Danio rerio: one gene and its partner. The protein of the gene in region 2 purifies or fractionates together with the protein of the main gene of each other region. This does not show direct contact. Links are inferred from orthologs where the notes say so. Each region holds a gene or a part of one and is shown on either strand. Other genes may lie near its edges. The genes, in order: iba57 and isca2.

Region 1 (14,481 bases), on a different chromosome or scaffold from region 2:
ATTCGAACAATCGTATGAATTGAATAAGTTAATAAAAGCTTTTAACAACACATTTGTGTTACTTAATTATGGATTCAGTCTGTGGATTTTATTGAATTTGTTATTAATGACGCATATTATGATGCATGATTAAGTATTTAAGAAGAGGAATGTGCTCAATAAACTGGGAAAGTTGAACAATATATTTGTTGTGTTTAACTTATTTTAACTAAAGAGTTTATTGGTCTTGTCATAATTAACTACTGCAAAACTAATATACTAACTATAATGTAAATATACTTTAACTGCTGGATGAAGCCTGGTTTATACTTCTGCGTCAAGTCACCGGCGTAACCCACGGCGCATGCAACCTGCGTAGCTGTGCATTTATACTTCTGCGCACTGTTTATTTATACTTCTGTCGAGTTTTTTCGCTGGTGCTTTGACTTTTCCGAACACTTCCTGAATGTACAAGTGGCTCAAACTCGCTCATTTTGAGGCAGGAACCAGCGGACGTGCAATAACTTTAACTATGAGGTAAACACAAAACAAAACTTTCCATCCGAAGCTCCTTTACGGGACTCCACACTTGTAAACAATCGCTCCATTGGGCTAGCGCGGCTCTCGGTCCCGCCCAGATTTGTCAGCGCTACCAAGCCGACCATTCACAGAGCTTGCGCTACGTGTCGTTTCGACGTGTAGTTAAATTTTTTGAGAGGTGCACATCAGCTACGGCTACGCCGTAGGGCTATGCGTCAACTTGTATGCTGCGTCATAGCATACGCATGCGCTTGACGCAGAAGTATAAATCAGCCTTGAGACTGTATGTTTTAAGGTTGGGTAGATAGACGCGATCCTCCGCCCCTCCTTCGTCGCAGCAGAAACCTGCTCCTGAAAAATACACACTCAAGCCCCATTTACAATACGTCTTAGTTTTAAAATGGCATTTGAGAACAAAAAACAATCCACATCCACACACTGGCATTTCATCTACCATTTCTATAAAGCCCTCTTTCCACACTATACCACTGAAAACGCACATCACGTGAGCACACACACTCTGTCATGCACTGCAGCATCTGAGCTCCAGCAGTCAGCCCAGAAAGCAGTGCACGTTGGACAGTTTATCAAGGATGTACAGCTGAATCACGTCTCACTATAATTGTTAAAGGTGATATTTATTAATCTTGTCTCCATCTAACAACTCTTCAGTCTTTTGAGTCTTTCAGGTAATGTGTCACAGCATCAGTAGACTGCTTCAATCTCTCGCTTTCACACTTGTACTTAGTAATTTTAGTGAAAACCTCAGATACTGTTGGTGGGTTCCTTTTGGTTGTGCGTCTTTTCACCAACTAAGTTTGTTGAAGCTATAGTAAAGACACAGATCACTCTGCCTATTCATGCCAGAGTCCCATGGAAAAAAAGTTATTGCCAGGCAGTGTTGGGCAGTAGCGTCGCTCCAAGTAGTGATGCTACTAGCTTAAATACATTTCTCAGTAGCGTGACGGTAGCGTCACTACTTTCTAAATCAAATAGCTTTTCAGTAGCGAAGCTATTTTATTAGTCAAGTAGCGCAGTGGCGTCCACACAAGCTACATTTACAAATCGCGGATCAATAAGTGACGGCACCGACATTCACAGAGCTGTTAGGCCAATATCTAGCCGATGAAAGTAAATCCATATGAATGAGAGAATGTTGATTTCTTCTTCTTCGACAACAAGTTTTGTGCGTTACTGAGAGAGAGGAATTATTTCTGAAGCAGGATTCCTCGTGACCAGGGCCGGCGCATTCATAGAGGCGACCTAGGCGGCCGCCTGGGGCGGCAGTATAGAGAGGGCGACGTCCGCAACACCCCCCTACCACCTGCGTCCTCAGTTATGTCCATGACACCTCCCTCACCACCCGCGTCCTCAGATATATTCGCGCATTGGCGACAGAATAGAGAGGGCAGCGTCAGCAACACCTCCCTCTCTCCCTCAGCACCCGCGCGTCCTCAGTTATATCCGCGCATAGGGTGGCAGAATAGAGGTCCGCGACACCCGCGCGTCCTCAGTTATTTCCTTGCATAGGGCGGCAGAATAGAGAGAGCAACGTCGGCGACACCTCCCTCCCTCAGAACCCGCGCGTCCTCAGTTATATCCGCGCATAGGGCGGCAGAATAAAGGTCCGCGACACCTCACTTCATTTTCATAACCGGTCACTTTCGTTTTCACATTGGGGTTGAGGGCGGCGTGATCGTCCTCTGCCTAGAGCGGCAGTTCAGCTTGCTCCGGCCCTGCTCGTGACCATACCTCGAGAAGTACGTTAAGATGCAACAACTTAATTTTATGATGCTGTGCTCAAAAACAGAAAATACTTATATATATATATATATATATATATATATATATATATATATATATATATATATATATGTATATATGTATATGTATATATATACACACACACACACCATACTGCTTATTCCAAAAAATTTCCCTTTACTATTAATTACTATAGTATTTTAAATGGGCAACACCTGGTTTTATTGGATTTTTTATTTTATTTTATTTTTTAGATGTTATATACCATAATGTTTGTTTAGTACAGCATATTATTTACAGTAAATAACTGAACTGAACTATTCTGCCTCATATGTTACATTGGCAGTTTTATTGATCACTAAAATAATTGACTTGGGATTTAAGTTGCTTCAATTAAAAAAATGAAAATTGTAAAATTAGCTTAGATGTAGCTAAGCTACTTTTGCCATGTAGCTTTTAGCTTAGCTCACTACATTTTTCAAGTAGCTTGCCCAACACTGTTGACAGGTGGTAATCTGTGTAACTTTATTCAACAGTTTTCCTCAGTGTCAGTATATTCTGCATGTTCCCGAGAAGGGGCTCCATACAATTGCAATGTGAACTCTTTTAGAAGATCAACCCAAAGAAACTTCTTTTATTTCAAGGTGTCAATCGGTACCTCTGTGTAAATGTTCTGGCTTCAAATATGACACTCTTACATTTCTAGTGTTTGTGATTTATTTCTCTTGGGGGGTTTTTGGCCACCAGTCGGGCACAGAGGCTAGTACAGTCACCGTCTCGTCACCAGATGATTTGAGCTGGAGTGTTTCTTTGGCGTGAGCCAGGCGTACGAGGCTCAGTCCCAGCTTGTCCACTCCTGTCCTGTATTTACCTGCTGGTTTTCCTCCCTCTGTCTGAAGAGCTGACCCCTGGTTGAGCTTCTCGGCTGGAGCAGATAAGCTGACAGGCATCAGACGCTTTCTTATCACGCCGGTGTGGTGAGTTCTGGCCGTCAGCTCCTGCCCGATGTAGCAGCCCTTGCTGAAGCTGATTCCCTGCATGTAGACCAGATTGGCTTCCAGTGGAAGAGCCTCACCTGGGGGAAGATCTCCGACTCCTTCAGGCAGTCCTGTGAAAATGAAATGAAATACAGCACTGGTTGTACAAGCTAGACCTGAGAAGTAAGCCCAGTCTACATAAATAATAATAATGTACAAGCAATACCAATCTCATAGCGATGCCTGTGGTATTCTTCAGTGTTGCCCAGTCGACAAGCAGACACAATGTCCAGTGGATTGTCCTGAGCGCTGGTGATCATTCTCCAGCCCATGAGCTCAGTTCTTGGGTCTTTCTCCAAAACCAGCACTTTATCAGTAGTGGTAACATCAGGCCTTCCCAGGACAGCTTCTTTACTGTGAGGTAGCAGAGCCCAGAGCGAGAGACTCGGACATACGCTGAGGTTCACTTTGCGACGTATCTTGTAGACTTTCAGAAGCTGCATAACAGAGTCCTGCACTGTGCTGTCACACTCCAGAAGTACACCGTTGAGTCCATCTGGGTTTCCTTTTAAACTGAAGAACAAAGTAAGTTTCGTTAATGCGTACAGGGAGAACATAAAAAACAAGATCTTTTTTTGGGGGGTCTAAAATAAAGTAATAATATTTGACCTTTAAAAATGTTTTTTTTTTTTATTATTAAAAAAAGTTGGCATTTCTGTGTGGAGTTTGCATGTTCTCCCTGTGTTGGTGTGAGTTTCCTCCAGGTGCTCCGGTTCCCCACACAAGTCCAAACACATGCGCCATAGATGAATTAAGCTAAATGATCTGTAGTGTATGTGTGTGAATGAGAGTGTATGGGTGTTTCCCAGTGATGGGTTGCAGCTGGAAGGGCATCTGCTGCGTAAAACATATGCTGGATAAGTTGGCGGTTCATTCCGCTGTGGCAAACTCAGATTAATAAAGGGACTAAGCCGAAAAGAAAATTAATGAACTGTTTCTCGGAGGGCCAATTGGACGGTGGTGGTTAAAGTCAAAGTAAAAGCAATAAATAGATCAAATAAAATATTATGTATAATTATAAAATATGTCAATGTTTTAAATTTTAGTAATGGAATGAATGTTTTCTATGCTACTAATGCTACTAAGAATGCCAATGGCCAATTACACACAGTTTCAGGGATGTTATCCTCATAATGTGGTGTTCCCTTTAAAACTAAAAGAAACTGGCATAGTGACAACCATAGCAATATAGATGGAGATTAACAGACATTGCAACATTTAGAATCATCCATTTAGTTATGAAATATATCTGCTTTTGCAATTATTTACATAAAACACTGATAGTTTATTAATAATAATTCTATCTGGACAAAAATGTATCACGATTAATCGCATTCAAAATAAAAGTTTAATTTAATAATAATTTAAGTGTATGTATGCTGTTTATATATTTATTATGTATATATAAATACACACATATATGAGAAAAGTTTTATTTATATTATTTAGATATAAAATACATCTGAATATGATACAATTTGTACATAAATTTAAATATTCATGTAAAAAAACGTAATAAAATTGTGCAGCTTTGTTTCTATTTATGTGTGTGTATATGTGTGTTATATATATATATATATATATATATATATATATATATATATATATATATATATATATATATATATATTGTGTGTGTGCAAATAAAATTAAGAATAAAATACTTAGTTAACATTTCTAGTTAGAAAACTATATATTTTGGCAAACACAAAACTTAACACCTTTACAGATTATTACCAAATTACCAAAAACATGAGAAGTATAAATTTTTCAAACTTTTTTCTATCAACAATGCAATTTTTTTACCCAGAGTGACTTATTTATAGAAAGTTTTTGGCAAAAATAGGCGCAGTTCTTATTTTTCATGTTGCGGAACTAAACTGTGCAGAGCTGCGGCCCTCCAGGAACTAGATTTGACACCTGTGTACTAGTCTAATACACACCATGGCTTTATGTGGATGAACAATTCTGTCATATTCATTATTTGTAAGCCACTGGACATATCAGCATAATATTATACATAAATAACACTGACTTTAGTGATATAAAATAGAACTGTACAAAAGCAGCTTCATATCTATTCACGTCAATACAAAACTATCAATGTGTGACAGTGAGATAATGCTGAATCAGGTCACGCCCACATTTTACGAACCCAATTTACTAAACTCCAGCACTTCTAAAAGCACGTCAATATTACATATAGTGTTTAATCCCAACATTTTAAGCTAATTAAATGTTAATAGTGTTAGTTAGTTAGTGTGTTAATTTTACCTGTAAAGGATGATGTCGTACAGTGTCCTGCCTTGAACATTGAGCACGTGAGCGTACATGGCATTCAGTGAATCCTCTCCCAGAAGATTCATGTCATTGGTGATTATTCCTTGAAGAAATGAGCTCGTGTCTTGTCCAGATACATTGAGGACAGTCCTGTGTGGTAATCTGTAACAGCTAAAGTGTGCTGTACTGCTGGCAGCTCGAGTTTGAGAGTGTGTTTTAATCCGAGTCCTGCTTGTACATAGAAAATAGTGCGCCTGAAGTCCGCCTGACCGCACCACAATCTCCCTCAAAGCACCACCAAACAAAATCATCCTTTGCATTATGTTGTTTTCTGAATGCAGCAACAGCAAGTCAACCTTCCAACCTTAAACCTTCCATTTTCATTCCCATACTGCACTGCGTTTTGTGTACGAAACAAATACTATGGCGGAGGCTTATCTTATAAATATTCATAGCGTAACGTTAGCTGCGTCCGCCCTCACTTTGAGGCGTCAAACTAATCCCGTGTTTTATCATAATTTTAATAGTACTTCGTTGTGATATTCGCCCAGTTTGTATGGAGATATAAATAAACAGATTTGTGTAGCTATATATATATTATTTGAAATCTTATTTAACACTTTTGTGAGACGAATTATAAGTGTGCGGAGGAATATGAATATTCATGAGTTCACTGAATATCGTTAAACGTCAAACAACTGTTCACTAAAGGTAAGCTATGTTATAGCGTCGAGTAAAAGTTAATTGTAGCCTGTAATATTACGATTAAAATTGTAAACATGCTCAGCATTTCATAGATTATATTTGATTTTTAGTGATTACAGCTATTTTTATTCCTGTTAAATGTATCTTCAATACACTTTTGTGTTCTGTGGCGACGAACTCCTTCGTGAAAGTAGATTTATTTCGGTAAATAAGCCAGATCTAGACATTCTTTAATTACATAAACAGATTTGTACAGTGCTGTTGGTGTCCTCCTGCTAAATGGCTAGATACAAAGCTGTATTACTTATTCTTTGTTACTTCATTACTTCATGGATGGGTACACTAAGATGGAAAAGGTCTTGTGCAAATGAGAAGTGAGAAAAAATGTCAAATTGAACTATATATTACAATTGGAATAAAGACAAGTAAACAGCCATTATGTAAACCAGGGGTGGCCAAATTGTTCTTATAAAGGGCCAAAAACCAAATAACTGAGGGCTGTGTGCCAACATTAAATATACCAAACTGTATTACATTAAATTTGCCATGTGTAATTTCTTCATTTATTTGCTAATGTTTAAAAATAACTAGACGTTGCTTTAAATCATATTAAATTATGATGCAGTATCATTTTTAACATTTTATACTGAACTTATTGTAAAAACATAAACAATCCCATTTATAATATAATGGAGATCAATGCTGAATACACTAGTCGAGCTGCTCCTGCCTTTGCCTTGATTTGCTTACTGATGTCTTGTGCATTGTCATCTGCCAAGTGCAGTATTTGCATTTAAAAGTCTGATTCATTTATAAACATTTAGTTTTAGCTGGCTTTTTGTAGCTCCTCAATTAAACAGAACAAAAGGTTAGCCTACGTTAAATTCGAAATGGCGATCTGTGTAAAAGGCATTCGCCCTATTAAACTCCATATCATTCTCCCTCCCTTTATAGGCCAAACCAAAGGTTACCAAGGGCCAACTTTGTTTGTTTTCCTTTCAAAAACTGCCATGCTAGCGTTTCATGGTTTTATTTTGATTTGGCAGGTCGACAAGAAGTGTCGAAAAAAAGAAGGATGAAAAAAAAATGACAGGAGGAGAAATTTACGATGCATCCAAACTCACATGGTGAGGTTCTTTTTCAAATCTAAAAAGGGAGAAAGGAAGTGTAAATCGAAAGTGTTGTGGAAATAAATTCAGACACATTGGATGACTAACAGGATATTAATCAGTATACGTTTCTTTATATATTTATTAATTACATGGGTTTTCTGGGAGAAATAACAAAATAGGAGGGTGGCGGGAGATGGGTGTGAAATACTGGAGACTCCTGGGAAAACTAAGAGTGTTGTCAGGTATATATAATAGCCCTTTAATAGTTAAGAAATAGTTTGCTCTGATCTGTATCTTAAATAATATCTCTAATTAAATAATAACATTTGACCAGCTCTATAATAGTTCATACTATTAACAATGCATGTTTGTATCAAAAATATTAATTTAGCGATTTGAAACCAGCAAATCTAGAGCAGCAACAGACAGTGTTCACTAAACATGTTTCCAATAAAAAAGGCATTTGTACTGTAGGTGTCCATGAAACTAGATGCATAGTTTGTATTTTATTATACACTTGCTCACACATGAAAGTTAAAAAGTAAAACAAAAATACATGTGTAGTCTTTCATGGTCGTCCATTAATAGTGCAGGTATGCAAACATGTCATCGTTTATTTAATATCAGAAATGTCATTGAAAACCACTCAATATCCCTTAAAACAAAAACAAAAGCTTGATTAAGTCAAAGTCAAGTCAAAGTCAGCTTTATTGTCAATTCAACCACATGTTCAGGACATATAGAGAAACGAAATTACGTTACTCTCAGACCCTAGGTGCCTAACATATAATGTTAATACAAAAAGTAGAGTTTTTAAGAAGGAATTTACAATAAACACAATTATACATAAAATAATATAAATATATACCTGCAATTTAGTCTATATTAATTATTAGATATTGAATTAAATATGTAACTTTGGTTCACTGAGGCATATTACCGAACATAACTGAAAAAACTGACCCCCCCCAATCGTCCGCACCACCCTACATATACAGTTGAAGTCAGAATTATTAGCCCCCCTTTGAATTTCTTTTCTTTAAGTATTGCCCAAATGATGTTTAACAGTGCAAGGGAATTTTCACAGTATGTCTGATAATATTTTTTCTTCTGGAGAAAGTCTTATTTGTTTGATTTCGGCTAGAATTAAAGCAGTTTTTAATTTTTTAAACACCATTTTAAGGACGATATTATTAGCCCCCTTAAGCTATATATTTTTGTTGATAGCCTACTGAACAATCCATCATTATACAATAACTTACCTAATTACCCTAACCTGCCTAGTTCACCTATTACCCTAGTTTAGCTTTTAAATGCCACTTTAAGCTGTATAGAAGTGTCATGAAAAATATCTAGTCAAATATTATTTACTGTCATCATGACAAAGATAAAATAAAACAGTTATTAAGCCGCCTTTTCACTGCACACGACAAGCGACAGACCGGAAGTCATTCATTTCCAATGGAGAGCAGTCCGGGAGCTGCGTGGAGTTCCGATCATCTCCGTATGCGGAAAATTCGCAGCTCAATTCGGATCCGTTGAAATATTTCAAACTTCTGCGACTAGACCGTATGCGACCTGCTGACCGGATATGATGTATTCCAGTTTTGTCCAAGCAGATCCATGTGCGCGAGATGAGAAATGGGAGTTTATTTGGTTATTTTTTTAATCTAAAAACTCTATATTAAAAAAATAAACTTTTCTGTTCATAAATGTAAGTAAGAAAGTAATAAAAATATATGTTTTAATGTTGTCCCCACATTCCCTCCAATATGTTAGCGGTCTATGAGTTTTTAGTATTCATTCATTCGTTAAACCATGTAAACGCACAGAGAATAAAGGCTCTTGCTTTTGCACTCCTTTATTTCGGACACCGTGTGAATCAGTTTCTCCCCCACGGTGCACGACAACACTGAAAATACTGTGCGGCTGCCACAAGGGAGCGTATTCCGACAGTCGTGTTCAAATGTCATGTGCAGTGGAAAGGCGGCTTTAGAAATGAGTTATTAAAACTATTATTCTTAGAAATGTTTTGAAAAAAAATATTCTATGTTAAACAGAATATATATATAATATATGTGTGTGTGTGTGTGTGTTTATATATGTTTTTTGTCACAGTCTCTGATAACTCAGAAGTAGTTGTTGTTAAAAAAGTGCAAGCAGTCATGATTTTCTGAATGGTATTTCAGAGGAAATTCCACTAGTTCCAAAGTTCTACCCTGAGCTCAGCAGTTTATTTGGAAATGTGGCAACCCTAAGGGTAAAATCGTTAAAACTGAAGGAAGTAAGCAAAACATTGGCAGATGTAAAGTCTATATCCTTCAAAAACAAAAGGGGTTTTGTTTTTGCTCACTGCCTATGGAAAATGTCTTGCTTTATCTTTGTTCAGAGCAAAACAAAAACTATTATACATTTGGATCATGATGGTGTGATCAAGACTAAAGTTTAAATATCACATAATTATATCGGGCATATTTGGAACAGAAAAATACGTAAAAATCTTATAATTTATAATATATATAATTTGTAATATGTATAGATAAGGTTTTTCTCCATCATCCTTCATATTAAATCAATAGGTTTTTACCCAGGAGTCTTTTAATCAATTAAAACCGAATAAAATGTAGTTTAAAGAGCCCCTATTATTGCGTTTTTGAAAATTACCGCCCATGCAGTGTGTAACACAGCCAGGGGCGCCGCTAGAGGGGGTAAAGTTAGGACGATTCTAAGGGCCCATACATTTAGGGGGGCCCCAGAGACATTATCAAGGGCCCGCTCCAATCCAAACCCCCCCACGGCTCTTCACTTTCATCTGTGATCTCTCCGCCCGCTCTTCACTTTCATCAGCAACTCCACAGCCAGCGGCTGATAGTGAACCATGTTTGAAAGGTCAAAGCAGTGGCGCAGTAGGTAGTGCTGTCGCCTCACAGCAAGAAGGTCGCTGGTTCGAACCTCAGCTCAGTTGGCGTTTCTGTGTGAAGTTTGCATGTTCTCCCTGCGTTCGTGTGGTTTTCCTCCGGGTGCTCCGGTTTCCTCCACAGTCCAAAGACATGCTACAGGTAAATTGGTTAGGCTAAATTGTCCATAGTGTATGTATGAGTGTATAAGTGTGACAGGCCGGCCGGAAGGTGTAAAAAATGTTGTTATCTTATGGACAAGTCTTAAATGGAGAACTTGTTCCAAAAAGAGCCGACCCCGCAACCATGCGGGACAAAGGCCGAAGATGAAGAGTGAACCGTGTTTAAAACTATAGATTCTTTTAGTCGACTCAGAGTCAGATAAATGATTCATCCTTTGTCTAATCCTGATTTCTGGAATTGTTCTTCCCCAGACTAGAACCCGGTCATCGTGGTTAATTCCTCTTTGCTTCTCAATTCCGCCGACGAGCTAACTGGTAAAATTGGTTGCGGCGGGAAAGCCCCACAGTAAAGTGGTCAGCCGGTAAGCACCAAAAGGAACAGAGTCATACCGCCACATATAGCGCTCACTTAAAAAATGAAATGCAGCCATACGTACCTCCATAATTTGCGACCTCCAGAAACGTCCACAGGACTTCGTTTTCAAAATGAGCCTGGGTTGGAATTGTGTCATTGTTATTACATTGTTATTATAGGGTTCAGAATAGTATATATGCTGGTGTTTAACCTCATTGCTTTATTGCATTCTTGCACTGGGCTCTCACATACTTTGTTCTACTTTATGACCATGGTGGGCATTCTCTCTGTCTCATGCTGAACGCATTCGATCAATCACAACAGAATAGGTCATCGGTAGGCCCACACGGAATTTGCGCGCGCAGATTTTCAGCAGATTTTTAGCCCATCATTAATTCTGTTTATTTACTTGAGTAAATGTGTGTAAATCTATATTTATTCCGTTTTTAAATTAAGTACGGTAATATTATTGGCTAATATGAAAATGTTCATCTAATTTATGTACAATGCAGTTTGTACAGTGATATTTTCTGTCTTTTAGTAGACATATTATATGACAGACTTGCTTTGTTTACCAAATAAACTGAATCTAATTGGATTTGCATTTTAAACATTAAATAAAAGTAAAAAAATATATATATTTTTTTAACATATTAAGGTTTTAGTTATGATACTCCCAAAATAGTTTGGCAGAAATCTGCAGATTCTTACCAAAATTCTCTGCAGAAATAGCAAAAAATATCTGCAGATTCCGTCTGGCCCTGGTCATCGGACCAATTAGTGCTGATTAGCATCACGCAAAGGAGGGGTTTGGGAACAAATAAATCACTGAACAAATCATATGGGAGTCGTTTGGGATAATTAGGTAAAAATAAATGCATATTATAAGACAATGAACATGTTTTTTGAGCTTGCATGCATATCAGCCTTTTGTTGGACACCCCCAAAACCAAAATATGGCCTTTTATAATGTATAATAGGGGCTCTTTAATGACTTGGTATTTTATCTAGTTCAAGTAAAGGTCAGAATTTATTAGTATTATTAATATTACGGTTGCTTTCACATGAACAGACATCCCAGTTGGGAAAAGTAATTTCCGGGGGATACAGAGTTGATAGTGGGTGTTTGAAGAGCGGGGGTGGGGGATGGGGTGCATTGAGTGAGCGACGTATTTTGGTAGGGGGGCGTGTGCGCGCGAGACGTACCCAAAGAGCGGTGGGAGTTGTGTGTGCGAAGTGACATAACATTGCCTGAAGAGCGGTGGGGGTGAGTTGCGCGCGACGTACCTGAAGAGCTACGAGGGATGCGGTGGAGAGAGGGCTGTTCAACATATTTAAAGACCGTGCAGGAAGCGCGCGATTTCCGGGAGATTATGATTCATATCGGGCATCCGGGAGTGTCTATGCATTTGAGGAATACTCCCGCAACTTCCGGGAGACCTGGGATGTCTGCATGAATGACATTTTAACATAAAACTGTTCATCTCAACAGCTTGTTTTAAACGTTAAATCAAGAGTTTGAATGCAAAAACTTCAAAGTGCCACCAGAAATCTTCTTCTAAAATGGGATCACTGCAAAAAAAAAATGCTTTTCTTGCTTAGATTTTTTTGTCTTGTTTCTAGTGCAAATTTCTCACAATTCTTAAATCAAGAAGAATTTTCTAGACAAGCAAAATATATTGTCTTGTTTTAAAGGGCACATAAATTTTAAATATATATATATATATATATATATATATATATATATATATATATATATATATATATATATATATATATATATATATATATATATATATTTTTTTTTTTTTTTTTTTTAAAGGTTACCCCTTTTTTCATATTTATTATAAGTCTTTTGTGTCCCCAGAATGTGTCTGTTAAGTTTCAGCTCAAAACACCCATCAGAGTATTTATTATAGCTGTTTAAAGTGTCTGTATTATAGCCGGGAAAAGGTTGTTATTGTTTTTTTGCACTGGGCCTTTAAGGCTAGTCATCCCTGCCCACCGTTCCCACGTGCCTGTCAGCAACATGCCTCAATCGCCGCCCTCGGCTGCCTCAGGAAGCAGATCTCACGTAACGTTTGTGAGAATTACTACAGTATTTGATGCATTTTTTGGGGAGTTGCAACAATGAGTTCACACACACACACACACACATACATAGCGTAGACAGTCAGACACATACATACATAGCGCACACACACACACAGAAAGACAGTGAGAGAGACACGCGGTTGTGCTGATGAAGTGAATGACTGTACTTCATTACACACGTGCTCTGTTTTAAAACATGTTAAACTTGTAAAACTCACTCTTGATCACGTCTGATGATGATTGATGATTCTAGCAAACTGAACAGACCTTTTATTCCCAGTTGCTTTGCACTCGTCCTGTCTTGTCGATATGACTATATGCATTACTATGGAGACATGTTAATGCGCGCAGCTGTCAATCAATATTGGTGGGCGGGGGACCGCACTCATACTTAAAGTTGCGGTCGATCTGAAAACCGCTACAGTTGGTCCACCGTTTTTATGTTGTTAAATTTGAAAAAAAAGGACTGGGTGTGTTTATTTCACCCCAATAAGACAGTATATACACTATACTTACACACATGTCTGTCCAAACAGCTTGATTTTTTCACCATAGGTGCCCTTTAAAAAATAACATGCCCACATTAAGTGAGTTTTTCCTTAAAACAAGCTAAATAATCTGCCAATAGGGTAAGCAAAATAATCTTATGTCAAAAGGAAAAACAAGATTATTTTGCTTACTCCATTGGCAGATTATTTTTGCTTTGGCATATTATTCCTGAAAACAAGACAATATGTTTTGCTTGTCTAGAAAGTTCTTCTTGATTTAAGAATTGTGAGATATTTAGACTGGAAACAAGACAAAAAAAAATCTAAGTAAGAAAAGCAGTGTATTTTTTTCTGAGGCTTCTGTGTATAGGTTGAGTAATTTCACATTTATGCCAAATAATGTTCTTTGCATTGCCTTTAAAGTGAAATAACTCCACCTAAAGAAAAAAATGAAAAAGAAAAAGAAAGAAAAACTAATTTAGGAACATATCAGAAGGCACTTTTAATTTTTTTTGCATCTAAACTCTTCAAATATAGCATTAATCAATAGTTTAACAGCATCTTAGTTTAGTTTCAGTCGCGCTCACAGTTTAAGTGTCACATCTGTGATTTACAAAGATGCTAGTCATGCCAGAAAAACAATAACTTCTGCTTTTAATATGTGTGTGTGTGAGAGTGTGTGTGAGAGAGAGTCATTTCTTCCTTTCCTGCTCCTCCCAATGCTCAGTCAAGCAAATTTCCTTTCTTATTGTTGATGTAGGCATACCCTAAAACAGTTTTTATAAACTGCAGGACTACCTCCTCTGATTCATTGTGTTAGTATCAAAATGCTGGATGCATTCTTTCCATGCTTAGAGAACAACTGTTTGTTCTGTTTCCCGGACACAGGTCTTGTCCTAAAGAATGACTTGAGAGGATTTCCAGGCAAGTGTCGCACTAATCTACTGAAAAAAAAAGTGCTGTCTTTGAGGAAAATCTCTGAAGCCAGATCTGAATAGCAAATCTGTGAATAACAAACATTTGAATTCAAGCCATGGATGTTTTAAAC
Region 2 (17,758 bases):
ATCCCTTATCCAAAATCCTAGTGGATTACTTTTGAAAAACCGGGCCCTGGTGGTTGAGACAGAGGAAACAGGCCCCTCAGAGGATCAAAATCCCACATCCACTTGATTTCTACTCTGTGGCAGTACTACAATGTACACCATGTCATCCATAGTTTAATATTTGCATTATTTATATGACAAAAATAATTCATTCTAATAGCTTATTGTAGGATAGGCGAAGCAATGGGTAGGATAGGCGAAGTAGGTAGTGCTGTCGCCTCACAGCAAGAAGGTCGATGGGTCGCTGGTTCGAGCCTCGGCTCAGTGTGTGTGTGTGTGCGTGTGTGTTTGGATCTCCCCCAGAGATGGGTTGCGGCTGGAAGGGCATCCGCTGCATAAAAACTTGCTGGATAAGATGGTGGTTCATTCCGCTGTGGCGACCCCGGATTAATAAAGGGACTAAGCCGACAAAAAATGAATGAATGAATAAATATTGAAGGATAACAAGAGTCAAATTTCTTTAGTTTTCTTCGTTTATGCTTTTCTAGACATTCAACCCACATTTGTTCAGAGCAGTAATTTCTGAACATGGCAAAACTGGGCTCTTGTGAAACATTTCGAAAAAAAAACATTGCTGACTCTGATTTAAAGTGCACAGATCAATGTGGGGTCCTTGGGTCTGGAGAATCACTAAACACCACCCCTGATAAGTTCTGTCTACATGGCCTGTCTAAACTATCCAAATATTAAGATGTTTTGGGCCTTGAACATCAGAATTCAAATAGTGGCAGAATCCATGACCACTTCTACAAAATAAGAAATTTCATCAAGATCATATTTCATTAAGGTTCCATTTCACATGTAATGCATTCCGATGCTCAATTCAATTCATGTTTATTTCTAATTCATGTTTTTTTTAGTGCTTTTACAATGTGGATTGTTTTGAAGCAGCTTAACATAGAAGTTCTATTTAATTGAAATTCAGTCCAGATTTTAGAGTAACAGTTAGGTTTAATTCAGTTCTGTGTGGTTTAAATTTCACTGCTGAAAGTACAAATACTGAAGAGCAAATCCATCGATGGGCAGCTCCACAAGTCCCAAATGATGTTTACTGTAGTAGACATCAAATATGTTTTTTCAACAAATGTTTTTAACAATACGCTCGTTGCCTGTCAACCAATTGGGGAAGTTAAGAATAAAAGCAATTGGGCAAATATTTTTTTTCTGGAATTAAGGAGGAAGTATTTTCCAGTAAAATTTATTTAAGCCTTTCTGCAAAGATGAACAAGAAACACACAAATGCTGTTACAAAGTTTGCTGTATACATGTTTAACACAATGGACTGTTTCTGCATGTCTACACACGGCAAATGTGACAGGATACAAGTAAACACACACCGCAGTATGGATATTCATTATGCTTCTGTACAAAATAAACCAGAGTTAACATCCACAAATTTAACTCCTTTTGTGGGTTTGAAGAGTCCTCCTTTATAGTTGTACTAACACTGTGGCTGTGGTGATTCCAGCAGTTATGAATTATATTGCGATTTTACTATATAATTTTCTATGTTAATATATTTACTGTGTTTATTTATATTTTTATATAAATAATATTTACATTTGTATTTTACAAACATGCACTGCTTAAAAAATATTTTAAACTTGTACAACTCAGTCTTGGGATGCAGCTAATCACAGAGAGTTGAAACATCTTTTAATGTCAGTTTCTTTGCAAACCCTGTCTTGTCGACATGAATATACACATTAATACCGAGATCAAGTACACTCAAAAAATTATATTTGCTGTTTGTTCAAACTACTTATTTTACAGTTTTTTTACAATGGCTATGACACTTTTTTCAATACATTTAACAAGTTTGCTAAACTCTTAACGCAGCAACACACCTAAAATACACAATTGGCAAAACAGTTAATTTTATGCTCAAAATCAAACATTATAAACTAAACCTCTAAACTACTTTTCAAAATACAATAATAAACGAACACACTACACTATGTCTAACAAAACACTGCAATCATGTTTCAAAAAGAAATTATTGTTCAAAACACAAACACATGTTCTCTTCCAACATAACCATTTAGTCAATCAGAACACACTGACAATAAAAACACTATCATCAGCTGACATTACAGAAACTCCATTAGTTTATGTGTCAGCTCTGCCCTTATATTTGAAGTCTCGTTACAGTTTTGTTTTGTTGGGTTAAGTAAACGCATGCATTTTCTTTCGTTTACGGCAAAAATTCTATACAAAGCGTAGAAAAAAAATTGCTTTATAAAATTTACAGTTTATGTAAAAAAAAGAATTTCTGCAGTACAGACTTTTTTTGCAGAAAGACATCACTGCAAACAGAAAAAGCACCACAATTATAATAAAATAACAAAGTAATCTTCTTTTCTGCCCGGTCTTTTGCCACATGTTCTCATCCACATTATACTTGATATCTTCTGTGGCCCGGCACGGTAACTGTGGCCCTTTGGTCTATTATGTTTTTCCTATGGCGACATCCCCAGCCTTGTCAACATTGAAAATTTCATGTGGTACTTGATTGGGCTTTTACTTCATGACTCTCTGAAAGTAATTAGACACAGTGTATGCAAATGCTGTACTGTATATGTACTGTACTAATGAACTCCAGGTTTAAAGAGTAGTTTACTGCAAAACACACTGTGTAAAGTACAGTAATGACTGTATTACATAATCTTACATGGACGTATGGGTGACACAGTTCTTTGATGTGCTCACTGTTCTTTCCAAAAACCTCTAGAGTCCTCTATTAGAACATATGATCATGTGATTGGAAAAACCAAAACAAGACATGAGTGTGCTTTCTAGATGGGAAACAGCTGTCATATATATATATATATTTTTTTTTCAGTTGCCAATGAGAAACAGCATATTGCGGCTATATAAACAAATAAAGAAATATATATATATATATATATATATATATATATATATATATATATATATATATATATATATATATATATATATATATATATATATATATATTTATTTATTTATTTATTTATTTATTTATATAACCACAATATGCTGTTTCTCATTGGCAATTGAATAAAATACAGGGAATAAACTTGTGTTTCAATTCACAATTAGAAAAGCTGTTCACTTTGACTTTATCCTATATAATTTCTGTTTAGAACAAGGTGTTATCTGTTCTGACATACTGTGTTAAAGCATTTGTAAATTTGACTGTAAAATTACGTTGTTTTGTTCTTGGTTGTGCTTGTGTGTAAAAGAAGTTAAAGCATTTTAAATTGGTGTTAACTGGATGCCTTTTGCGTCAAAGCAACAAGAAATGTGTTAATTGTATAGCCCACGAAGACGGATGTTGTGCTAACTGTGTTAAGAGTTTAGGAAACTTGTTAAATGTATTGATAAAAGTGTCATAGCAATTGTAAAAAACTGTAAATGAGCTAAAACAACACACTTCTCAAGTTTTTTGGGGGACAATGTATTTGTTTTATATTCAATCCATTAAATTTGTAAAATCTATTGTTGCCTTAATTCCTTCATGATGTAGCAACACAAATCATTTGCGTGGAACCCAGCATTTTACAGTGTAATAAATGCCTGTCAATCAATTCAGCAGCTGGGGAAAACCATACTTGGTGTTTGTCATGGTGTGGTAGATCACAAAAATCGCTGGGATTTGGATGATAATTTAACATTATAATATATATATTGTTTACAAGAACTCAGGGTGTTTATAACACAATGTAATGGCTGAATACATTCCATACTACACACATCTGTCCCTAAACGTGTTTGTTTGGTAACTTAAGCTCTGCCATCTTGGTCCTAATTGAATTTACATTCAACATGCAATTTATTGTGGGTAATATTAGCCATTAGTGTACAGATGGGAATAGTAGACCATCTGGCAATTTAATTCAACAAAACATTCAAAAACAAGCATTTTGAAATCGTATCTCCTTGCAAACAAAAACAATTTGTAGTGTTATTTAGCTTCACAACTTCAGACATCCCAAGTTCCGTGGAGTGTCCCGCACACATGCATAGAGACTCTCTGATGCCCACAAATTAGATACAATCTCCCAGAAATTAATGTCTTTATGTACCCCCCTCCCAGAAATTACTTTGACCAAGTTGGATGTCTGTAACATGCTTAATAAAAATTACCAGAAAAGAGCCATTTTGACATTTCCCTACAGTTATTAGAAACTGTAGGGCTGATTGTGTATTCAGAATCAGTGTTTCTATTAATTCTTGGTTTGACACTTGCATTAGCTGAAGTTTCACAGCTAGAAAGTGTCTGAAAACTTCTAACACTGCCAGCAGTGTCAGTCTCGGTGCCAGTTTATCATTTGGAAAATCTGATTACAAGGACCATTAAGCGGTATGTGCTTGTGCGCAAAAGTGTGTGGGTGTTTCCCAGTGTTGGGTTGTGGCTGGAAGAGCATCCGCTGTGTAAAACATGTGCTGGATAAGTTGGCAGTTCATTCCGCTGTGGCAAACTGTGATTAATAAAGGGACTAAGCTGAAAAGAAAATGAATGAATAAGGTTACTGGATGGTTTGGTTTAGGATTGTGGTAGGTGTAGACATTCATAAAACAAAACAGGTACAGGTGTCTTAGTACAAGACATTATAAAAATAAAAACACTTGAAGCTGGCTCTGACCTTCTCCCGATTTTAGCCAAGGATTACAGGAATATTTTAGGTCTTTCCAAATTTGCCATAGATGATAAAATTGTGTCTAAAAAGCACAATGAGAGGCACTGCATATTGACACTTTGAAAATAGCATGCAACTATTGTAATTGTAATGTAATTTGATTTCAGTAAACAGGGCTTTAATACATTTATAAAACATCAATGCTTCTCTTTTGATGGACAATCTTTGTAATATCATAAAATATACAAATGATGCAGGTTCACCAAGAGTGCTCCCTAGTGGTGAATCACTGAACAGATTTCATAGTTTTGCGAGTTTGTATTTTATGAGTGCTGCAGTTTCCCCTACAGTCCCAAGACATTCGGTGTAGGTGAAATGAATAAACTAAATTAGGCGTAGTGAATTAGTGTGTGTATTTCCCAGTGCTGGATTGCGACTTGGATGGCATCCTCTGCATAAAACACATGCCAGGGTAATTGCTGGTTCATTCCACTTTGACAACCCCTGATAAATAAAGGACTAAGCTTCTCTTAATAGCGAGCCCACAATGGAACAAACAATATAATCTCTGAAACCTGATTTGATGACATCTGGCACTTTGGAGAAGTGTTCTCTTCATGAATGAATCCTGGTTTTCACTGTGCAAGGCAGATGGTAGACCGTGTGGATGGCGTCAAGTGTGGTTGAGTGGGTTGCTGATGTCAGTGATGTAAATACAGCGGCCCATGGTCACGGTGTGGTTATATTATAGGCATATGCAATGGGCAATGAAAGCAGCTGAATATTATTGATGGCTTTTTAAATGCAGAGATAGCGCAATGAGACAATGAAGCTCATTGTTGTGCCATTCGTCCACAAACACCACCTCATCTTGCAGCATGATAATGCACAACCCCATGTTGCAAGTTTCTGTACACCACTCCTGGAAGCTGAAAACATACCAGTTCTTGCATAGTGGACATGTAACTCACCAAGCATGTTTGAGATGCTCTGAATTGGTGCATCCAGCTGCATGTTCCAGTTACAGCCAATATTCAGCAACATTGAACAGTCATTAAAGAGAAGTGGACTACAGGTTACAATCTATGCAAGTCAACTCTTAAAAAAAAAAAAAAAAAAAAAAAGATGTGTTGCTCTTGATGAGGTTTTTGACCTGCATGTATCCCATGCATACATGTCCCTAGCAGTGAATCGTTTCAAGCTTTGCAAATCTTCATTTCTTCCGTCGCTAAATAAAACACATGACAGGTGACCTCTTAAAAAACAGAACTGCAACTAGCAGCTTGAATGTTTGACCTAAAAAGGAGAAGGTAGTTCACTTTAACCGTTTATATATAGCCTATTTATATGTGCTATTAATTGGTTCGCTTTCATTAAAACTAAAATGCATACAGAAAAACTAGATGGAGTGTTCATGGCCGTGAACAAATACTGACTCTTCATTAAATAGATCACGTAAAAATTTAATTTACTCACCATCAAGTGGTCCCAAACTTAGTTTCTTTCTATTGAAATTATTGTAACAAGTGACATTTCAGTGGACGTCCTGTAAATACTAAAAAGTTTTCAAAAACTAAGGTCGTTTCCTTTACCAAGACACCCAATGAAATGAAAGGGTGTAACAGTACACTCATGTAGTTGTATTTTGGGATTTATAGAGGTTTCCTAGACCAGAGGACTTATAACATTTCTTCCAAATTTAAAATAAGAAAAAAATAAAAACATTTAAAGAAATAAATAATAATAACAATTGATAAGTGTTGTGTTGTCTTGACTTGAATATTAAGCCTTAACATTTATTTAGAATTTGGAAGAAATGTCATCAGTAGTACATCAAACAGAAGAAAACAAACAAAAACAAAAAAAAACATTGCTTACAATAAAAAAGTATTTTATTTCAGACAGTAATGTACAAAGCTGCTTGTTACATTTGGCCACATTAGCCAGTATTTTAAGAAAATAATTTTCAGATTCTTTATTAAATAAGCAGATTTAAAAAGTTTAACTTAAAAGTTCGCAAGTAATCGCTCCAAGAAATGTGAATTAGAAACATTAGAAGTAGCCACACAGCAACTAGAGCCTAAATTGATCACCACAGCTTATCAACATCTCAATCTGGTCAATCATTAATGCAGTTTTAGCAACAAACTAGAATTTGGCAATGTTTGTACAGTGGGTCTGTGTGCATAGTTAAAGACAATACATTAAAATAAAATAACAAATCTGTCTTGGTTAGAAAAGGTAATAATATAATCATAAAATCTGAATCTACTATAAGAAATCTAAAAGCTTTTCAGGCAATCTTTCAGATGCTTCTGTTAATCGGATCCCTTTGTAAGCATTTTATCCTGACTTCAGCGTTGGCTTTCAGTTTACGATCTGGACAGGGAACTTGATGCAAAATAAATCTTTGCTGGAGTCGTCTCTTAGTTCCCATTCCACAACCACTTTTATCTAATAAACAAAAATAAATATTTAAGTGAAGATATACAACATTACAGACTTGCTTAGAACTAGAGAAGAAGCTTTAACACTTACTGCTGGATACTCAGTCTTGACAGGCAGCTCAGTGACATAGTTGTAAGGTTTCTGTGGAACAATAGGACACTGAATGCCAGATTTGCACCCATCGTCAATTGGAATAGGGAAGGGGACAGGGACACCAGCAAGCACACCATGAACCACAGCTTTACTGGTCTGACTTTCAACACCTAAGGAAATATAAGGGTTAATAGTTATTATTAACATCATAATTTCAGATTTATTCAAAAGTTTATTATATGTATAAAGCAACTCACCACTGCTGAAGGTTACATTAACGGTGTAGGATTGTCCCTTGTGAAGCTTGCAGGGCTGTTGCGAGCAGGGCTTGATGTCAACCTGAACTACTTTTCCGTCTACCGAGCCTGTAAGATGAAAGTGGAAATTATATACAAATATACAATTCAAGTAAAAAATAAATAAATTGAAATTGTTAAATATACAAACTTGATAAAAATAAAGACTTACCGCAGTCCACAAATTTTACCGGATCAGCACAAGTGTACGCGAGAAAAGAAAGTAAAACCACGCCGAGCACTCTGTAGTCCATGGTTCAAATGAATGCTGTTAGGAACCAACACACTAGAGTTAGTTTACTGACAAAAATCTAAACACAAGTAGGATAATTAATAATCACATGACAGCGAATATGCGTACACTTCCTCATAAACGTAAATGTCACTTTTCAAAATAGCACACAAAAACTTTCAGAGAAAAAGTACTTAGATCAAGTTAAAAGGTAAAAACATTAAATAATTTAATTAAATGTGTTTACTTACTAGGTTCTTCCTTCTGTCCCCTTTTCTTACACCCTGTTTCCTTGTCACGAGACCAGAATGACTGTGTCCTCCAATCAAATACTGTATGTATGGGCAGTCCTATGACGTAAAACGCCTTTTCGACGATCTCTCAACCAATGGTAGTGACTCGTTAAAATGGTCTGAAACTAGGACGTTCTTTTGTTGCCAGATATGTGAAAAACTTGGAAAACAAGTTTATCCAAGCAAACAATGTTTGCTTGGATATTCAATAACTCACTCAATTTCCTTCAGCTTACATCCTTTGAACCCTTTGTGTGTGTTTAACAGTTTTTAATCGTTAGACTAAACTAAACATAGTCTAAAATAGATTATCCATGGTATTTGTAGTAAAACTGGTTACACAAGTGGTAGACCTAACAGTCATTACTTTTTTATATTATGGCGAAACAATTGTCGATTTTAAAATAATGGTTTGCTAATAAAACATATTATTTAGACATATTAGTTCTAAGAAAGTTTTTATTGCACATTTAAGAAGATTTCAGTAAAAAAATGTTTCTGTGACAAATAATGGTACTTCATAGAAAGATCATTTGTGTTCTTATTTATCTAACTTAATTTTTTATGGTTCTGTGAAAGCTGTCTTTATTATAAAAATCAGATTTCTATTAACGTAAACATAGTTTACTGTTTTAAAACGTTTTGAAACCAAATAAAAATAACACCCTAAATACATAAAAATCCAACCTGGCAACCGATATTCTCGATAACGTCCACTAAGGCGCATGCGTAGTACTGTGTGAGTTACAGAAGATGTCATTCGCCCGGAGACTGCTTGTAAGCGCTCCTAAAACAGCGTCATTTCACCTTCTCAAGTATGCTCAATTTAGCGAAATTACGCTCATACATTTTGCATGTATTTTGTGATTTGGTTTGACTATGTTTTATGTCCGTACTTCAGCTAATAGCTAACAAAATAGCTTAGCTAGCATGCACAGGCAGTGAGATAACGACACCTTATTAGTATCCAATAACTGAAAGTAGCACATATCAGAACTAATTAATGAAAATCGCCACTTAAACTTATATACTGATTTAATTAAAATGAAATTTCTCGATTGCGTGTATTCAGTGGATTACAAACTAATCCGCGTTTTGCTAATGTTACACATATCATGTCAAGAATGTTAAATCTCTTTCTTAGTTGCTTTTTAACGTGAAATCATCATAATGTTTTTACAGAAGTAGGTTGACAAATTAGCCCCATAGGTTTGTTTTGATCAAGTGCATTGTGTGTGTGTGTGTGTGTGTGTCCACCATTCCCTGGCTGTCACGTGCGTTTTGTTGTTCTCCAGCCTGCTGTCAGTGAGATCATGTGCAGCTCCTCTCACCTCCACCTCCTCCAACACTGAACACCAGAATACATCCAGTACAGATGCAGAAGTTCACCTCAGCCAGTCCTGTGTCAAGGTGCGAGTTCATGTGTACTTCATCTTAGATACTCAGAAGTATAGTTGTGGCCAAATTGATGTTTACTCATCCTTATGGTTCCAAATATTTATAAATTTCGTTTGTCTGTTTCAACTCAAAAGAAGAGGTCTGGAAACCATTTAAATCCATAGTAAAAAAAAAATAAGGAAAATCATTTGATGCTGTTACCGACATTATTCAAAATATCTTCTTTTGCATGCAACAGAAGAAAGAAGTTTTGGGAGAACTTTCAATTTATGCGGTCACATTTACGCACACACCAGATAGGCACAATTAAATGTGCCTATCTAGCCATGAACATTTATTTATTCATTCATTCATTTTTCTTTGGCTTAGACCCTTATTTATCAGGGGGCACCACAGTGGAATAACCTGTCAACTATTTCAGCATATGTTTCATGTAGCAGATGCCCTTCCAGCCACAACTCAGTACTGGGAAATAGCCTTGGACAACAGCAAATATTAATAGTTGTACTTTTGTTGTTTCTGTAGAGGCTCGCTGAAATCATGGAGAAAGGACAATATCTGAGAATAGCAGTGGAGGGAGGAGGATGTTCAGGATTCCAGTATAAATTCTCTGTGGACAGTGTGAAAAATGAAGATGACAGGTAATTTACCTTGCACAAAAGGGGTTATAAAAAGTTTTTATTTTATTCATTTTTGCATGTGCTTTTTTCTTTGTCAAAATTAGATCTAGTGATAGGAGCTAGGCCTACATAAAAATGAAATATTTTTAAAAATCCAAACTTAATTTTACCAAACTTATAGATATTATTCATACAGTTTAGCAATCATAGTCAACTGAAAAAAGACCAATTTTGAAATTGTTCATGTTAAATCTAAATTAATGCTGTTTTTAGGGTTGTAAAGGCACACTATGTATAATTGTGTATCTTATTTGTATCAAAACAAACTGTTGTTTTATCTACTGCATGATAGGAATTGAATTTCAAACTTTAGTAGTTTTACAGCATTTTTACATGCTAATATTAATTCTTCAGTAGTTATCTTCAAACTATCTTTTAGTCTGGTAATAAAAGTTCACTAGACATTATATCATAATCACACGCCACCAGTGTTATTAGGCTAATGTCAAAAAAATCTGCTCATGACATCTAGTTGTGCTTTTTTAATACCGACAGGTGGTAGTAGTCTGTATTGTCATTCCACAAAGGGAAACCAGAACTAGTGCTGCACACATACAAATCATAAAGAAAGCAGCACTTGTGTACCTTTTTTTATTTATTCATTTCCTTTATTTAGCCAGGAGATCATGTTGAGACAGTACTGTCTGTTCTTCCAGTAACACCTGGTCAAGACGGCTGACAGCACATAAAGATCACAAAAAACAATACCACTAAATGACAAAATCGTAGTTCATAAAAAGGTCAGATCAAAAAGGTGGGGGTTATTAGATTGATGACACAGTAACAGCGTTAGTTGTAGCAAATTGATTTCACAGCACAATGTTTAACTTTAACGCCTTTACAGCACTTGCACACATTAAAAATAAAGGCCATGACTGAACATAGAGGACCATCTCCAAGTGGTGATCTCCAAAATTAAACCAAAACTTCTGTACAGTCTTGCGCTGTGAACATTGTGCCCACCAGTCTCATTATATGAGGCTACTATTAAATTAAACAAATGAATAATGACTATAACATTATATGATTGTTAGACTGTTGCACTTTTTTTGTGTTGTCAATATGCTCGTGTTTATATTGTTCCTTTTGGTGTGTATGCACCATGGTATACAATGTTTGTATGCTTATAACCAACTCTGAGGATAGTGGGGGGTCATGAGTCACTGGAATTGTTATTTTAGGGTCGCGGGCTAAAATGTTTGGCCCTGCACTAAACCTCTGCTCTATAGAACATGATGTTTGTGCCTTTGTTGCCAAATCTAAATACCAATGGCCATCAACAAAGAAAATGACACAATATCTAGAGATTTTTTTAAAGCATAACATATTTAATGAGTGAGTTCAACCAAAAATGAAAGTTCTATCATTTACTCATCCTTCACTTGTTTCAAACCTTTCTTCTGCTGATCACAAATTAACATATATTGAAAAATGTTCAGCCACTGACTTCCACAGTATTGTTTCTACACTGCTGTTTTTTTCAACATTCTTCAAAATATCTTGTTTTGTGTTTAACAGAAGAAAGATAATCATAAAGGTCTAGAACCGCCATTTCCTTAAATGTAAGGAAATGGTAAGGACCTGATCATTTTTGGGAGTGTAATGATCAAACAAGTTGTTGAGGTGCATATTTATGTAAAAAGTAACTGTGGAAATGAAAAACTGATCGTTTGTTGCTTGTAGCACTGGGATCTAGCATGCATACTAGGTGAAACAACTCTTGCTTTTATATCTCTTTCTTTTCCTCTAGAGTGTTTGAAAAGAACGGCGTAGGGATAGTGGTGGACCAGGACAGTCTGGAGTTTGTGAAAGGATCCACTGTTGACTTCAGTCAGGAGCTCATTCGCGCTTCATTTCAGGTGTTGAAGAATCCTCAGGCTGAACACGGCTGCTCCTGTGGCTCCTCTTTTTCTGTGAAACTCTGACTCTCTTCCTGTCTGCATATCAGTTCAGAACACACAGCTTACATGTCTGCTTATTTACAGGTAGAGTTCACCCAAAAAATGAATGTTCACACACTATTTACTCCCTCAAGTGGTTCAAAACCTTTATGAGCTTCTTTATTCTGTTCAACACAAAGATATTTTGAAGAAAGCTCTGACCATTGACTGCTATAGTAGGAAAAACAAATACTATGGAAGTCAGTCTTTACAGCTTTCCAGATTTCTCTAGAATATGTCCTTTTGTGTTTAACAGAATAATGAAGCTCTTGAAGGATAAATAATGTCAGAATTTTCAGTTTTGAGTGAACTGTCCCTTTAAGATCAGTCAGAGGCATAATAATATAATAATGTGATCAATGCTCAATTTGTTACTATGGTAAATGACATTCAGTGTTTTGTGTGTTGTACTGTATATAAGAAAGATTGTAAATATATATCTAAATAAAGTTATAAGATGATATGATATTCCCTGTTGTTGTTTTTTAGGCTTCTTGAGAGACAGCTCAGTTAGAATCTGGGATTGATCACAGAACTGAATTGATTACATTATAAATCTGTGGTCTCGAAGTTAATCTCTTATCTTGATTGTAAGGAGCTCATTATCATAGAATGTGATTGTTTTATGCTGACGAGGTCTTTTTTTTTTTTTAGTAATGATCGTTAAAGTGACGGTTCTGTGGAACTTAAATAATGCTAAAAGTATTTAAAATAAAATGCTTGCCAAATAGCCCTAACTGAAAAAAATACATTAATTTAACTATCTCATGCATTTTAATGATTTGAATTCCCAGGGTTTGTGTTTTTAGCTCCTGCAGTTTAGCATAGCTGTTTATGTTGTGAATATTTTAATGAAAAATATTTGACACATTTTCATACTTAAATGTAATACTTATTCAAATATCCAGTTGTTTAAAACGTGATATATACTATTCTAAAGGTAATTTTCAATTCATTTTATTTCAGTTCAAATGTTTTTTTAAAAATTAGGGGTTCAAAATCGGGTTACTTACATGAACCGTCACAACGGTTACTCAAACCGCCTTTGACAAATATGACACATTATCTCTCTATCTTCTATAGACATAACCTTGTATTAATATTATTATTATTATTATTATTGACTGCTATACGGAATATAAACTACAAAAGAGAAACAGGAAAATAATATATAAAAAAAAACAATTAAATAGATAAACACAATGCCAGGGTTAAGGACAATTAACCCTTGTGAATTGTGAAAATCGACAACCATTTCATTATGTTTGTGGCTATTTTCAAGTGGTGCTCGAGGGGGAGCTTAAGCTTGAGCTCCACCTTTTTTGCACTTCTTCTACGAGTGATGTCACTGGGGGTAGGGTTAGGGGTGGGGTTGGTGTACGCATTAAAACAGCTTACAGGAGGAGGAGTGACAGCTCATGCTCCCTCTCGCTGGAGCTCAGCTCTCCTCAAATGGCTCTGCAGCGAGCACCCTCTCGCTATTTTTGCCCCGTTGACTTTCATTATAACCACAATCTTTTTATTGCAAAGCCTTGACACCATATAATCATGCATTCTTGATTGTTGGTGCTTTTTCCTCTGTTGAAGAGGTGCAAGTTTTAGTTTTTACTCTTGATCATCAGTTGGCACTTTTAACCCTTTAGATAGACCTGTGCAAGACCTATCTAAGTTTCTGGCTTATATATATACATATACATACTGTATACTGTTTACTATGTTCTGAGAACTAAACTGCTTATTTTTATTTTTATCAAACATATTATGGTAATTGTGGAAAGGCCTCTCTTACACTCTTTCTCTCACCCATGCACACATTCTCCATATTCAAGCCAAAAACTATTGTTTTCTTTTTTTTTTCACTGTAACTTATGATCAACAGTAAAAATGACAAACTGAATATGGAAAACCACTAACAATCAAGAATGCATGATTATATGCTGTCATAGCTTTGCAATGAAAAAAATGGGCTTATAACATGACATATACTGTAAGTCAATCGGGAACACAAAAAACTAACATAACAAAAGGGTATTAAATGTGCCCAGTGTGTTGTTAATTGTTTTTCATTATTTCCAAAGAATTTTACCAAGATATGTTTCAAAATAAGATCTGTAACCAAAAACCATTCCACTTGCTAAAACACAGAAATAGTTTTGACCGAATTAAGACTTAAAATCATGAAAACAACCCCAACAGCACACAAAAATGTAAGAATAAAGATATTAATTACAAAATCAAGAACATATAATGATATAATTATCTATTATAAGAGAGTAATAAGAATGCGAGTGACACAGTGGTTAGCACGTTCGCCTTGCAGCAAGCAGGTCACTGGTCCGATGTTGGACTGGGTAAGTTGGTGTTTTTGTGTGGAGTTTGCATGTTCTAATCGTGTTTGCATGGGTTTCCTCCAGGTGCTCTGGTTTCCTGCATAAGTCCAAAGACGTGGTACAGGTGAATTGGGTATGCTAAAATTGACCGTAGTGTGTGAATGAATGTGTTTGAATGTTTCCCATTGATGGGTTGTGGCTAGAAGAGCATCCGCTGCATAAAACATATGCTGGATAAATTAGCCGTTCATTTCGCTGTGATTAATAAAGGGACTAAGCAGAAAAGAAAATGAATGAATGAGTAATGAGAATGCCATGATAATAATGTTTTCAGGACTTTGGAATTATTAGATGTAGGGAGTGTTCAGGTATGTTTTGAGGTCTTCATTCATTCATTCATTTTCTTTTCGGCTTAATCCCTTTATTAAGTAGGGGTTGCCGCAGCAGTACAAATTGCCAACTTATCCAGCATATGTTTTATGCAACAGATGCCCTTCCAGCTGCAAACCCAACACCCGGAAACACCCAGGACGGCAGTACACACACATTACAGCCAATTTAGCGTTTTCAATTTACCTGTACCGCATGTCTTTCGACTGGGAAAACTGGAGCACACCAAGGAAACCCACCCGAACAAAAGGAGAACATGCAAACTCCAGCCAGAAGTGTCAACTGAACCAACGACCTTCTTGTTGTGAGGCGATCGTGCTACCCACTGCACCACCATGATGCCTTGTTTTGAGGTCTTTTAAGGCATAATTTGCAGGTGGAAATAAATTGCTGCGCTTAAACTGCTATGTTAAATCAATCTATTAAAATGCAAGCACTTGTTAATTTAATGCATTATTTGTTTAGAGTTTTATTTAAAATATTTTTGTTCCATAAAGTTTGTAACCAAAAGCTTAAAACCCTGTCAACATTTACTCACTCTTCACTTCTTCCAAACGTATTTGATATTTCAGGTAATCCTCAATCAAAGTCTGACCATTTGCTTCCGTGTTTGGAGTGGTGTTTGGTTTCGGTTCTTCTCTGTTGACATCAGTTTGACACTACAATATTCTTAACCACGCCCCCTCTTACCGTTAGTTTGCTTTGAGGAAATGATGTGAAAAAAGGGCAAAACCCTGCCCCCTCAATATTCAGTTTCAGTTGGACGTACATCAACATTCTGAAATACATCACGTTTTTCAAATATTTTAACTGAAAGATCTAAACTTTGTGAGATCATCTTGACCACATCTACATGCCAATATATTCAATATATAGATTAGATATTTGTGTAAAACAGTCTTACATGAACGCACCACTTATGTGTACATCTTTTTTTTTATTATTAAAGTTGGCCTTTAAGAAACATTTCACAAAAATATACAAAAGAATGTCTTTACAAATGATATTTACAAGAAAATTAAAAGATGCATTAAGCACATCTCTTTCAATCAGAATGAACCAGAGACAAGGTTGCATTTTGTTTCAGTTCACGCTGAACTTGGACAATCCAGATTAGTAAAGTCCAACAAAAACAATAAAAAACATCAGAATAATCAAATAAATGATGTGATGTCATAAAGGCTTCAGCAGCAACATGAACAGTGATTTCAGATAAGACAGCGTTGAAACAAACTCTTCATTCGTTTTCTGAGGAATTGCATTAGTTTTTTTTTCTTCTTCTTTTAAACTTTGATCCCTGACATGAAACACAAAGCTCATACCTACTCACACGAACAGACGTCTCAAGTTCACTAATCAAGCTAGAGTTGCTACATATGAGGTTAGGAGTGTCTTCTACTGTTTAGGGAGATCACGTTCAAGATGGACATGAAAAGACCACTGGACTACCACAGTGAGCAGGTCAAGTATACAGTGCATAGAATGCTTTGGCATGCTGACATCCTAGAATATAACGCCAGTGTTACATTCAGGGAGAAGGCCACAGGAGATCCATGAAACCTTGAAAACAACCACCAGAAATGAAGACGACAGAAAACAGAATATAATATCAAAAACACCACACCTAAATGAAGAATAATAAATAAAAAACACGCAACGGGTAGTTTAAGGCTAATTGTTGTTAGCTTGCTACAAGTTCTTTTTCATTCGGAAGAAACTCTTTTAAACATCAATACAGACGGAATCCAAAATAAATGACTTGTAGCTCTATTTTTTTTTTCTTTCTTTAAAAAAGACAAATAAAAGTGAAGGGTAAACACATACACGTCTGATGGATCTTTTACAGTATGTTGGGTCGTGTGACACCCAACTATCATTCAGAATGGGTGACGACGGCTCATGCATCTGCTGTAAGACTGTGTAAAGATCTCTGTGAGTGTGTGTGCACTCATGCTGTCAGCTGGACTGGAGATGCTTTTGAGGCAGAGCGAGGACACAGCGGGATCTCAGTGAGGAGTGTGGACACACCGCCATACAAACAGACTGAAAAACACACACAAGTGTACCATTAGAATGGGAGCATTTCCAATAACAACAACCCAGTGATTCTTGATTCTGGGTAGTCATTGAAAGCATTCTGCCAAGTAACTGATCTGATCGCTGCCCACCAAATCTGATGGTTTCATGTCAGTTTCTTCATAGTGCAACATAACTGGAGAATGTCTGTCAGTCTGTTGGATGGTTGTTTATTAAAGGTTTAGGACACCCTAGAGAACTTTTTTTTATATTAACAGATATGTGTGTGTTGAGCATTAGTTAAGACAATGTTAGCACTTGTCAGCTTTAATTGTGGGGAAAACTGGATAATTTTGAGCTTTTGTCAGCTAATTTCAGCTTCCGGGTTTAAAATGATTTTTGGGGCGGGATCAAAATTGGCGACGTAGCGCAGTACTGCAAGTGCAATGATGAGGCGTCGGTTTCTCATTATTATTTATAGTGGAGTTTTCTTATCCTATGAGAAGAGCCGGCTGCTTAATTATTCATGAGAGCACGTGCTTTCCGAAGGCAAGACAGACCTGCCAGTTTCAAGCAAGCTGTGAGACACGGAGTCACGGACCAACGGCACGCAGTAGCCGTTCATGAAGGCTCGTATGTGTTTGTTTCTATGATCCACGGGGTTTGTTGTATGTTTTTTTTCCCCGCGATCTTGTCAGGGCGATCATACATCAAAGCTCTGTGTGTGCTGCAAGCATTTTTGTCGGGAGAGCAGCACGAGAATTAGAGAATGGCGGACGCTGTCTTTTATCGTTCACATTTAGACACATCGCCGTGCTGCTGTGTTTGCCTAAATCCTCCAGATTACCAGCAGGGCTAATGGTTAAAATAGGCAGGTCAGGAGACCTGCTGCACTGAGTCTGCATTCAGATCTATAATAGACCCGGGGATCGAGGGAGAATCCTCATTTATAGTGTTTACATGAACACACTTATCTTT

What was found.
Region 1: the proteins of isca2 (region 2) and iba57 purify together in Homo sapiens (co-immunoprecipitation; 4 studies listed by BioGRID and IntAct, with this or other methods). This does not show direct contact. The link is inferred for Danio rerio from reciprocal best matches to the Homo sapiens genes ISCA2 and IBA57.

What each region holds. Positions count from the first base shown.
Region 1 is NC_133177.1:3,583,694-3,598,174, forward strand, and holds iba57 (putative transferase CAF17 homolog, mitochondrial), read right to left. Parts: upstream 6,018-14,481; 5' UTR 5,921-6,017; coding exon 5,595-5,920; intron 3,834-5,594; coding exon 3,487-3,833; intron 3,392-3,486; coding exon 3,000-3,391; 3' UTR 2,508-2,999; downstream 1-2,507. Other genes in the region: atypical chemokine receptor 2, read left to right, coding at 14,467-14,481. UniProt on the Homo sapiens protein: Mitochondrial protein involved in the maturation of mitochondrial [4Fe-4S]-proteins in the late stage of the iron-sulfur cluster assembly pathway. Operates in cooperation with ISCA2 in the maturation of [4Fe-4S] proteins.
Region 2 is NC_133192.1:48,002,618-48,020,375, forward strand, and holds isca2 (iron-sulfur cluster assembly 2 homolog, mitochondrial), read left to right. Parts: upstream 1-8,757; 5' UTR 8,758-8,779; coding exon 8,780-8,841; intron 8,842-9,321; coding exon 9,322-9,436; intron 9,437-9,949; coding exon 9,950-10,065; intron 10,066-11,854; coding exon 11,855-12,029; 3' UTR 12,030-12,510; downstream 12,511-17,758. Other genes in the region: npc2.1 (NPC intracellular cholesterol transporter 2 precursor), read right to left, coding at 7,032-7,118, 7,203-7,375, 7,463-7,570, 7,674-7,755. UniProt on the Homo sapiens protein: Involved in the maturation of mitochondrial 4Fe-4S proteins functioning late in the iron-sulfur cluster assembly pathway. May be involved in the binding of an intermediate of Fe/S cluster assembly.